Macaca mulatta: one gene and its partners. The protein of the gene in region 3 purifies or fractionates together with the protein of the main gene of each other region. This does not show direct contact. Links are inferred from orthologs where the notes say so. Each region holds a gene or a part of one and is shown on either strand. Other genes may lie near its edges.

What was found. The genes of interacting proteins can lie anywhere in the genome.
Region 1: the proteins of REL (region 3) and TNIP2 purify together in Homo sapiens (affinity purification with mass spectrometry; 3 studies listed by BioGRID and IntAct, counting the BioPlex papers as one, with this or other methods). This does not show direct contact. The link is inferred for Macaca mulatta from reciprocal best matches to the Homo sapiens genes REL and TNIP2.
Region 2: the proteins of REL (region 3) and NFKBIB purify together in Homo sapiens (affinity purification with mass spectrometry; 7 studies listed by BioGRID and IntAct, counting the BioPlex papers as one, with this or other methods). This does not show direct contact. The link is inferred for Macaca mulatta from reciprocal best matches to the Homo sapiens genes REL and NFKBIB.

What each region holds. Positions count from the first base shown.
Region 1 is NC_133410.1:2,892,562-2,896,061, reverse strand, and holds part of TNIP2 (TNFAIP3-interacting protein 2), read left to right. Parts: intron 1-2,336; coding exon 2,337-2,627; intron 2,628-3,500. UniProt on the Homo sapiens protein: Inhibits NF-kappa-B activation by blocking the interaction of RIPK1 with its downstream effector NEMO/IKBKG.
Region 2 is NC_133424.1:50,002,191-50,005,690, forward strand, and holds part of NFKBIB (NF-kappa-B inhibitor beta), read left to right. Parts: intron 1-69; coding exon 70-175; intron 176-257; coding exon 258-591; intron 592-3,359; coding exon 3,360-3,448; intron 3,449-3,500. UniProt on the Homo sapiens protein: Inhibits NF-kappa-B by complexing with and trapping it in the cytoplasm.
Region 3 is NC_133418.1:63,901,032-63,905,109, forward strand, and holds the start of REL (proto-oncogene c-Rel), read right to left. Parts: upstream 2,801-4,078; 5' UTR 2,493-2,800; coding exon 2,483-2,492; intron 2,333-2,482; exon of another isoform or gene 1-2,332. UniProt on the Homo sapiens protein: Proto-oncogene that may play a role in differentiation and lymphopoiesis.

The sequences.
Region 1 (3,500 bases), on a different chromosome or scaffold from region 3:
GCTTCTGGGGGAAGCTTGGGCTCCTCCCTGACTTTTCTGAAACTGTTTCTTCACTTGTGGGATGGACTAGTTGTGCCTGCTTCACCTCCTTCATGTAATGTACTGTTTATTTTGGAGGAGTCTTTGAAAATGGAAAAGCACAAATTTAAGGCCAGGTGTTAAAAAATTGTCAGGTCAGATGTGGTGGCTCTTGCCTGTAATCCCAGCACTTTGGGAAGCTGAGGCAGGCAGATCACTCAAGTCCAGGACCAGCCTGGGCAACATGGTGAAACCTTGTCTCTACAAAAAATAGAGAAATTAGCTAGGTACAGTGGCCTGCACTTGTTGTCCAACTCATTAGGGTGCTGAGGCAAGGGGATCACTTGAACTTGGGAGGTCGAGGCTGCAGTGAACCATGATGGCACCACTGTACTCCAGCCTGGGTGACAGGGCAAGCCCCTGTCTCAAAAAAAATTGTCATTTTAAGAACCTTTTTCATTTCTTTAAGAAGTAATTGGGGTTGGGTGTGTTAATTTCCTAGAGCTGCTGTAACAAAGTAACACAAACGGGGGGGGGGGGGTGCGGGGGGAGGGGTAAGCTTCCACCAACAGCAATGTAATCTTTCACAGTTCTAGAGGCCAGAAGCCGGAAACGAAGGCATCGGCTCTCTCTGAAGGTCCTAGGGAAGAACGCGCTTCCTCGCCTCTTCAGCTTCCTGTGGGGGCCGCCAATCATTGGTGTTCCTTGGCCTTTATCTACAAGACAAGATGTCACTCATATCTTTGTTGTCACATGGCCTCCTTCTGTGTGTCTGTCCAGACTTCCGTCTTCTTCTTAGGACACCAGTCCCGTCCTAATCCAGTTTGTCCTCACCTTAACTAATTACATCTGCAAAGACCCTATCTCTAAATAAGGTTTCGTTCCCAGATACTGGGGAATGGGGGGTTTGGTTGTGGACATCTTTTGGGGGTTGCCCACTACAGTGGAGTTTCTACCTTTCCTATCAAAAAAGTGCTTGGAATTGCCACTTTGATAATTTGATGAAAACTGCATGTAGTGGCTTGAGCCTGTAGTCCCAGCTATTCCGGAGGCTGGGGTGGGGGGATTTGCCTGAGCCTAGGAGTTGAAGACCAGCCTGGGCTATATATAGCGAGACCCTCATTTCAAAACAACATCTTGATGATACGAAATCTAAAATGATGTGCTTGCTTGTGAAAACAGAATTTGGCGGGGTACGGTGGCCCACACTGTCATCCCAGCACTTTGGGAAGCCAGGGCGGCTGAATTGCTCGAGTCCAGGAGTTCAAGACCAGCCTGAGCATCACAGCAAAACCCTGTCTCTACAAAATACAAAAATGTTAGCCAGGCACAGTGGCACGTGCTGTAGTCCCAGCTACTCAGGTTAGGATGGAGAATCGCTTGGGCCTGGGGAGGCCGAGGCTGCAGGGAGCCATGATTATGCCACTGCACTCTAGCCTGGGTGACAGTGAGACCCTGCCTCAAAAAAAAAAAAGGGCTGGGCATGGTGGCTCACGCCTATAATCCTAGTACTTTGGGAGGCCGAGGCGGGCAGATCACCTGAGGTCAGGAATTCAAGACTAGCCTGGCCAACATGGTGAAACCTTGTCTCTACTAAAAATACAAAAATTGGGCCAGGCGCGGTGGCTCACGCCTGTAATCCCAGCACTTTGGGAGGCCGAGGTGGGTCGATCACGAGGTCAGGAGATCGAGACCATCCTGGCTAACACAGTAAAACCCCATCTCTACTAAAAGTACAAAAAATTAGCTGGGCATGGTGGCGGGCACCTGTAGTCTCAGCTACTCGGGAGGCTGAGGCAGGAAAAAGGCGTGAACCTGGGAGGCGGAGCTTGCAGTGAACCGAGATTGTGCCACTGCACTCCAGCCTGGGTGAGAGCAAGACTCTGTCTCAAAAAAAAAAAAAATACAAAAATTAGCCGGGTGTGGTGGTGGGCGCCTATAATTCCAGCTACTGTGGAGGCTGAGGCAGGAGAATCACTTGGATCTGGGAGGTGGAGGTTGCAGTGAACCGAGATCATGCCACTGCACTCCAGCCTGAGCAACAGAGTGAGACTCTGTCTCAAAAAAAAAAAAAAAAAAAAAATTTTAAGATGAAGTTTCAGAACAGAACATTGTAGGCTGAAAAACTCCAGAGTTAATAGTTCAAATGCCCGACTTCTGAGTGAGTAATTGTTAGTTCAGATGCCCGACTTTGGAGTGAGTGTGTTTGTGTCTGGTGCTGGGGCATCCATGCCAGGTCTCCTTTTGGTTTCTGAACATTTGCTCTCAACACTGCTTCTTTTAATTCAGTAAACTGTGCTTTTAAATCTTCCACTTAGGAAATTGAGAGGCTGACTGAACGACTAGAAGAAAAAGAGAGGGAGATGCAGCAGCTACTGAGCCAGCCCCAGCACGAGCGAGAGAAGGAAGTCGTCCTGCTACGGAGGAGCATGGCGGAAGGGGAGCGCGCCCGGGCCGCCAGTGATATCCTGTGCCGCTCCTTGGCCAACGAGACCCATCAGCTACGGAGGACGCTGACCGCCACTGCCCACATGTGTCAGCATCTGGCCAAGTGTCTGGATGAACGACAGCATGCACACAGGAATGTGGGGGAGAGAAGTCCTGACCAGGTAGGCCACCGTGTAAGATTGTGGTGAAGAACCCTGTGTACTGGGAGCATTGCCTACAGGCCCCGATCACAGAGGCCAGGGGCTGTCCCAGAACCCAGTCTGTTCTCAGCAGCGAGAGTCAGCTGACGGGACAAAGCTCGCTCATCCAAGGGTTTCTTTTAAAATGATGGAACATGCACAGTGTAATAGGAAAGCAGGCAGCCACCGCACTGCCCAGCACCAGGCCTGTAGCTGACCCTGCTCCCAGGTGGGAGGTGGCACCTGGCTTTCATCTGCCTCAGCTGAGGATGAGGAGGAAGACATGAGGGTGGCAGAGCTGCATGGAGGAAGTGCAGTCACATCCTCCTCATCTGAGGAAACTGAAGCAGAGCCGGGTGGTACTGCTGGGGACAGGGAGTGCCTCCAGTTCCACACCCAGAACTCCCGGAAGGACCGTGAGTCGCCTTCTGCAGGCTCAGTGTGTCTGAGTGGATCTGGGCACAGCTGGAACCGCCATCTCCAAAGCTGGCGTTAGGCATGTCCTTGCCAGCAGCGCGACCTCCCACAAGCTTGGAGACCTGTCTCAGGGTCACAGCCTCCTCATCAAAGCAGGGGACAGCGGTGCCAGGTGACAGTGAGGGCCAAAGAAGGGTTCACTGGACCTCCAGGATAGGCTGGATCTGGGCTGTAGCTCTCTGTGGGGTCCAGTGGGAGAGAGAGGAACTGTGGGAGTTTCAGCATCAGGAGAAACCAGGAGGCTCCTAGGCAGAAGAGTAGGGAGCAGCGGCCACGGCATGTGTGTGCCAGGTGCTGTGGCCAGTGTGAGCCAGCCACCTTCCATCTCGCTGGTGCCCGTGGTGTCTGTGTGTGGCAGGCGGGGAAATGGAGGCACTC
Region 2 (3,500 bases), on a different chromosome or scaffold from region 3:
CATGTTTGTCGAATGAAGGAATGCAAGAGGACTTGAACTTTGCCCTCTGACCCCGGTCTTTGTCCCCAGGGCACTGCACTTGGCCGTGATTCATCAGCATGAACCCTTCCTGGATTTTCTTCTAGGCTTCTCAGCTGGTACTGAGTACATGGACCTGCAGAATGACCTAGGCCAGGTGAGCCACGAGGGGATGGTGTAGGGCTTGGGGTCCAGGGTCCCCAGTGTGACTCCCTACCGCCTGTCCTCTGCTTCTGCAGACGGCCCTGCACCTGGCAGCCATCCTGGGGGAGGCATCCACGGTGGAGAAGCTGTATGCAGCAGGCGCCGGGCTGTGCGTGGCGGAGCGTAGGGGCCACACGGCGCTGCACCTGGCCTGCCGTGTGGGAGCACACGCCTGTGCCCGTGCCCTGCTTCAGCCCCGCCCCCGGCGCCCCAGGGAAGCCCCCGACACCTCCCTCGCTCAGGGCCCTGACCATACTCCCGACACCAACCACACCCCTGTCGCCTTGTACCCCGATTCCGACTTGGAGAAGGAAGAAGAGGAGAGTGAGGAGGACTGGAAGCTGCAGCTGGAGGCTGAAAACTACGAGGGTGAGGGTCGTGCATCATCAGGGAAGGACTCAGCTCCCGGGCTAGGCGAGAGCACCTGGCCCTGGGCTCAGCTTCCCTGATTCGAGACCGAGCTCCTTGGGAAATCATACCTAGGCTTCAGGAGCCCAGACATTGGGACCAGGGACCTCCACTCAGGGTCCAGATGATTGAGAATTGGATATGTAGGACCCAGGACCCCCACCTGGAGGCCCCAGGTCACTTGGGATGCAGACCTGTCACCCACAGACCCAGAGCTGCCAGGATCCAGTTGTTGGGCCCCCAGGCTCCCCACCTGCAGAATGCATTGCAGCTGGGATCCCTACCCCACCCAGGACCAGGGAATGCAGAGCTCAGGCCCTCTGTGAAACTCTGGCACCCCAGGTTCCCAGCGATGGGCAGCAGGGTTCAGAGACAGCCCTCCTTAGCCTCATGGGAAGAAGGGCTTATCTGCCCACAGCCCTAACATCCAAGTTTCTGTTTCCCTGCCTATAAGCCCAGCCACCTGAGACCAGACCCCTCCTCAGATGGACTGAGGTCATTCAGGACCCAGTGTTCAGGGCCTACCTCTCAGCCCCAGGTCACAGGCTTTTCAGCTACTTGGTACCTTTTTTTTTTTTTTTTTTTTTTTTTGAGATAGAGTCTCGCTCTGTTGCCCAGGTTGGAGTGCAGTGGCGCCATCTTGGCTCACTGCAACCTCCACCTCCCAGGTTCAGGTGATTCTCCTGCTTCAGCCTCCTGAGTTGCTGGGATTACAAGGATTACAGGCACATGCTACCATGCCCAGCTTATTTTTGTATTTTTAGTGGAGACGGGGTTTTACCATGTTGACCAGGCTGGTCTTCAACTCCTGGCCTCAGGTGATCTGCCCGCCACGGCCTCCCAAAGTGCTGGGATTATAAGTGTGAGCCACCGTGCCTGGGCAGCAACCTTAATTTAAGGTTTTTTTTTTTTTTGACATGGAGTCTCGCTCTGTCACCCAGGCTGGAGGGCAGTGGCGCTATCTTGGCTCACTGCAAGCTCCACCTCCCGGGTTCATGCCATTCTCCTGCCTCAGCCTCCCGAGTAGCTGGGACTACAGGTGCCCACTACCACACCCAGCTAATTTTTTGTATTTTTAGTAGAGACGGGGTTTCATCATGTTAGCCAGAATGGTCTGGATCTCCTCACCTCGTGATCTGCCCGCTTCAGCCTCCCAAAGTGCTGGGATTACAGGCGTGAGCCACTGTGCCCGGCCAATTTAAGTTTGTTTTAAAGATGATCTCACTGTCACCCAGGCTGGAGTGCAGTGACACCATCACAGTGTGCTGCACCCTTGATCTGCACTTAAATGATCCTCTGGTCTCAGACTTCCAAGTAGCTAGGACTACAGGTGTGCACCACCACACTTGGCTAATTTTTTATTTATTGTTTATTCTTTTTGTTTGTTTGTTTTTTTGAGATGGAGTCTTGCTCTATTGCCCAGGCTGGAGTGCAGTGGTGTGATCTTAGCTCACTGCAACCTCTGCCTCCCGGTTTCAAGCGATTCTTTTGCCTCAGCCTCCTGAGTAGCTGGGGCTACAGGCATGTGCCACCATGCCTGGTGCCACCACGCCTGGCTATTTTTTTGTTTTTTTGTTTTTTTTGAGACAGAGTCTCGCTCTGTTGCCCAGGCTGGAGTGCAGTGGCTGGATCTCAGCTCACTGCAAGCTCCGCCTCCCGAGTTTACGCCATTCTCCTGCCTCAGCCTCCCGAGTAGCTGGAACTACAGGCGCCCGCCACCATGCCCAGCTAGTTTTTTGTATTTTTTTAGTAGAGACAGGGTTTCACCGTGTTAGCCAGGATGGTCTCGATCTCCTGACCTCGTGATCCGCCCGTCTCGGCCTCCCAAAGTGCTGGGATTACAGGCTTGAGCCACTGCGCCCGGCCTATTTTTTTGTATTTTTAGTAGAGACGGGGTTTCACCATGTTAGGATGGCCTCAGTCTCCTGACCTCGTGATCCTCCCGCCTCAGCTTCCCAAAGTGCTGGGATTATAAGTGTGAGCCACCATGCCGGGCCTATTCTTTTTTCTTTGAGATGGAGTTTTGCTTGTCACCAAGGCTGGAGTGCAGTGGTGCTATCTCGGCTCACTGCAAGCTCTGCCTCCCGGGTTCACACCATTCTCCTGCCTCAGCCTCCTGAGTAGCTGGGATTACAGGCATGTGCCACCAGGCCCAGCTAATTTTTGTATTTTTAGTGGAGACAGGGTTTCACCATGTTGGCCAGGCTGGTCTGGAACTCCTGACCTCAAATGATCTGCCTGCCTCGGCCTCCCACAGTGCTGGGATTACAGGCGTGAGCCACCGTGCCCAGCCTTTATTTTTTATTTTTAGTAGAGACGAGGTCTTGCCATGTTGCCCAGGCTGCTTCTTGAACTCCTGGGCTCAAGTGATCCTCTTGCTTTGGCCTCTCAAAGTGCTGGGATTACAGGTGTGAGCCAGCATGCCAGCTCAGGTCCTTTGTGAAGTAAGAGCAGAGACTTGGGTCTACACCTGGCCCCAAAATCCAGACCCCCTGTCCACAGAACCCAGGCTCTTTACCCACGGGCCCCAGGCTTCGAACAACCCAGGCCTAGCACTTGCCAGCAAGCTCAGGCCATCCAAGACAGGACCCAGGTACCTCTTTGCCATACCCACGAATTCAGGAACCAGCCCCCAAACCTGATCACCCTCAGGCCACGTGACCCTCCCTCAGGATCAAAGCACAGGGGGGACCCCTCACCTCATCTGACACCAATCACTCTGTCCCCAGGCCACACCCCACTCCATGTGGCCGTTATCCACAAAGATGTGGAGATGGTTCGGCTGCTCCGAGATGCTGGAGCTGACCTTGACAAACCGGTGAGCCCCAACCTGGGGGAAGGTGCCGTCGGCGGGAGGGGGCTTATCCCGC
Region 3 (4,078 bases):
TTGCTTGTAAGATTATGATTTATGTTACTTTTACATCATGGCTATCACATAATCAACACTTATACCTATTTACATATGACATCTGGTGAGAAATGAAGAAATGCTCTTAAATGCTTTGTAATGAATAAAAGTACTTTTTGAGGTTTTAATACTACCTTACTACAAAGAGAATCTAAACTAGACAACGAAAAACTAAGCAATTTCTTTTTCTTTTTTTTTTGTGTGTGTCACTTTTCTGGTTAAATTGCTGTTTCAAAACAGAATAGGAATTTAGAATTTCATTACTGAATCTTTTTCTATCTCTAAGGTCTTTATAACAGATTAAGGAAAAGTACACAGATTCCTTTAAACATTTTCTTTTTTTTTTTTTTTTAATTCCAGGCTTGGCAGTTTTCTAACAACTGAATTACAATTTAAATAACTTGCTACATTTTAAATAGTGCCATTTTAATGCAACTCTTGAGAAAAGACCAAAAAAACAAAAAGTTAATCACCCTTCAACTTCTAAACCTTTAAAATTTTCTATTTCTTTAAACATTTCCTCCTTACTTTTAGGGAATCCTTCCTCCTCACAACAGCACAAAATACAGTGTCAATGAACAAATTTAAATTGTATTACATTTTAAAATCCTGTGGGTCTTAACAATACTCTATACAGAAATGGTTGTTTCCTCTCTCATTTGAAAAAATTGTAAGTATTACATTTATGCAATACATCAATAAAGTTTGATTAAATCGCCAAGAGGCTGAACTTAACTTACAATGCTAGGCATTCTTCATTACTTCCAAACAAAATCTTTCTGATAACCAATAAATTAACAAAACATTTGAAGTCATCTTAGCACTTCTAATCTACACATGCTTTGAATTCACAAATTTACAGGATTATCTGAAAGTCTGGTGTCACTTAAGTGGGAAAAGGGAAAGCTGAAATATTTTAAACTTCACTTAGTATTCTCACAACCACAGACAAACTGAAATCAAATGTCATGTGAAACACCCCAATTTCCTTTTCTGCCTACAGCAGTAGCTATGGCATTGTTCTGCTCAACCTTTTAGAAAGGTTCTTTAAACTTCCTACTTCCTCATCTCCACTAGACATCAACCAACTTCTGAGGGTCACTGGACCAGGCAGTTTTGGGATGCGAGTCAAGTTCATAAACGGTGCCCCGTCTTCACTCTCTTAGGTACAGCATTTAACATATGCATTTAGCCCTCCCTGCCTTTGCTCACGCTGCTTCCTCTGTCTGGAAAGCGCCCCCCACTCACCTTGGCAAAATCCTGGTAAAAGACCAACTCGAACCCAGGCTACTTAATTTCTCCCACCACCCCGGCTCTCCCGTCCCCCCAACCTTGAGCTCCAGGCACCCCGAAACCACGTCTGTGCATACAGGAGGCTCTTCCCTGCTCTGCAATGTTTCTTATAAATTTATTTCCCCCCAAAGGGAGAGATCGAGCATTTATTAAGGGAAAATATACAGTCAAATAAGTGATAAAGTTGTATTCACTACTACCCATTATTTTAAAGCACGGATATTCTAAAACTCCTCTTTCCCCTTATTTCCAGCGGGAAGGAAGGGGGATTCAACGTCTCTATTCGTCAGATTAGAAACTGTGTGCTTTATCTCACAGTAAAAATTACACACTCTATTTTTTTTTTTTTTAATAGAGACAGGGTCTCTGTCGCCCATGCTGGAGAGAAGGGGCGCGATCTTGGCTCACTGCAACCTCCACCTCGCCCAGGTTCGAGCGATTCTCCTGCCTCAGCCTTCCGAGTAGCTGGGATTACAGGCGTGCGCCACCACGCCAGACTAATTTTTGTATTTTCAGTAGAAACGGAGTTTCAAAATGTTCGCCAGGCTGGTCTCGAACTTCCGACCTCAGATGACCCGCCCGCCTCGGCCTCCCAAAGTGCTGGGATTACAGGCGTGAGCCACCGCGCCCGGCCTACACCTGGTCGATGCAACATTAACACTTAAAATACCACGGATTTTTAAATTCGTGTTAAAATACCACGAATGATTTTTAAAGCCGTGCAGCATTTTGTACAACTGTCAGTACAAGGGGGATCACCTCTTTGCATTTGACGAAATTAAAAAGGGGGAGAGAGCTTGCCCGAGGTTTGAAGGTTCCTCATTCTTGTTCTAAAACATAAAACCACCACTTCAATACATATCCATTTTTAACATGAGAACTCCTCGTCCTCCTTTAGTTCGCTTATGACTTCCCTAATCCTAAAATCAAGTCATTAGGAATTTATAAGTTTCCTGCTATGACAACAGGATCAAATTACAGACCGCGGCTTGGATTTTGCACGCAAGCCCTGAAACAGGTAACTTTTTTAAAAGCTGACAATTTTACCATATGAGATTTTAAAGACAGAACGCGCCCCAGCCAAAACTGAGCTCCCTAAACTCACAGCGGCAGGACCCCAAGAAAAGCTCCTTCCCCCCGGCCCAGGTCCCCGACCCGGAACACTCACCGGAGGCCATGGCTCCGTTCCCCGCACCTTCCCGCAGGCAGTTCCCGGCGTCCTGGCCAGAGGCGGCCGTGGTCAGTCAGTCAGTCAGTCAGGAGGCCGAGGGACCTCTGCCGGCGGGGCCCCCAGTCCCCCGACCACCCCAGGGTCCTCCTCCTTCTTCCCGCCCTCCGCTGGGTTTGCGGCTCACACCTTCCCACCCCCTGAATTCTTGCGCTCCGGGTCACCAGCGTCGCCCGTCCACCGTGCGGGAGCCAGGGGCAGGGGGCGCAGCAGGGCGAGAGCCGAGTGCCGGCCAGGCCGAGAGGCTGGCAGCCTGGCGGGAGGGGAATTTCCCGCGGCTGACGTAGGCCCGGCGCAGCCTTCAAGCCGGAGGCGTGGGGCGGGGCGTCCTAGCTGCCGTCGCGCGCGCGACCGCCCCCAGCGCCCCGCCCTGCCCGCCCCCGCTCACGCTCACCGTCCGCCCCGGCGCGTACGCCCCCGGCGCTGCTGCGGCGGCGGGCTTGGGAGGGGGTCGAGGGAGCGGGAGCTTGGGGTGGGCTTCGGGAGCACAGGGAACGGCGGCAGCCGGGAGGTCGCAGCGTGAGAAGGCCGCCGGCTCCCGCGAAATCCCCCTCCTCCAGGTTGTTCTTCCGAGTGTGGTTTAAAGTTCAGGAGCGGGCGGGGGGGTGCGGATGACGTAGAGAGGGCCGGCCGCCCGGGAGCTTTTAGGGGCGCGCCGGGCGGCCGAGCGGGGCCGACCCTCCAGGCCGGGGAGGGCGACGCCCGGGGTTTTCGAGAGGTGGTTCCCCCTCTTCCCGACTTCGCGCATGCAAATCTCCACCCCCGCGCCAGCGCGGAGGGGGAAGTGCGGCTGCGGCAGAGCCTGTCTTCTTCTATAATTCCTCTATTTGCATACGGGGACCCCCCCACCCGGCTGATTTTTTCCTCTTTCTATCTAAATTGCGAGGGTACTGTGAACTTTACGTCTTTTACCTACTGAAACCCGTTTAAACTCAAAAGGTCCGCACATCCAGGTCGTTGTCTCATTACGCAGTGCGCTGAAGTTTAGTGGACACTGTATCCTGAGATTTCACACAGATACCAAGAAAGGGGGAAATGGAGCAAACATTTAGTGCATTAAAGGACCTAGGATAACTTCGTTTCCTTCATTTGAATAGTACCTGCTATGCGTCAGATAATGTCTATACCTAATCTATGACGTATTTATTATTCCTAATTGTATAGATGAAGTATTCGGGGTTCAGAGAAGTTACTTCAATATACAGCACTTCCAAATGCTGGTAAGAAAAGGCACAGTTTAAAAAAGCCAGGGTTGTCTGACTCCAAAGCTCCATACCCTTGCCCCATCCCTTACTAGTTAAAATAAGTACGGAGAGGGAATGGGGAGTATCAGCCTGCCATACAAGTGCCCAAAACTGGGGGACCCAGGTGGGCAAATAATTAAAAATATCCCGCCAACTCCAAAGTATTCTTTCCACGAAATGCACAATGTACAACAAAAGAATGAAACAGTTTTATTATTGGATACGTACTAAAACATACCATGATGCACATCACAGGCAATCCGCTGAAGAGGGTGCAAAGACCAAAAAAAAA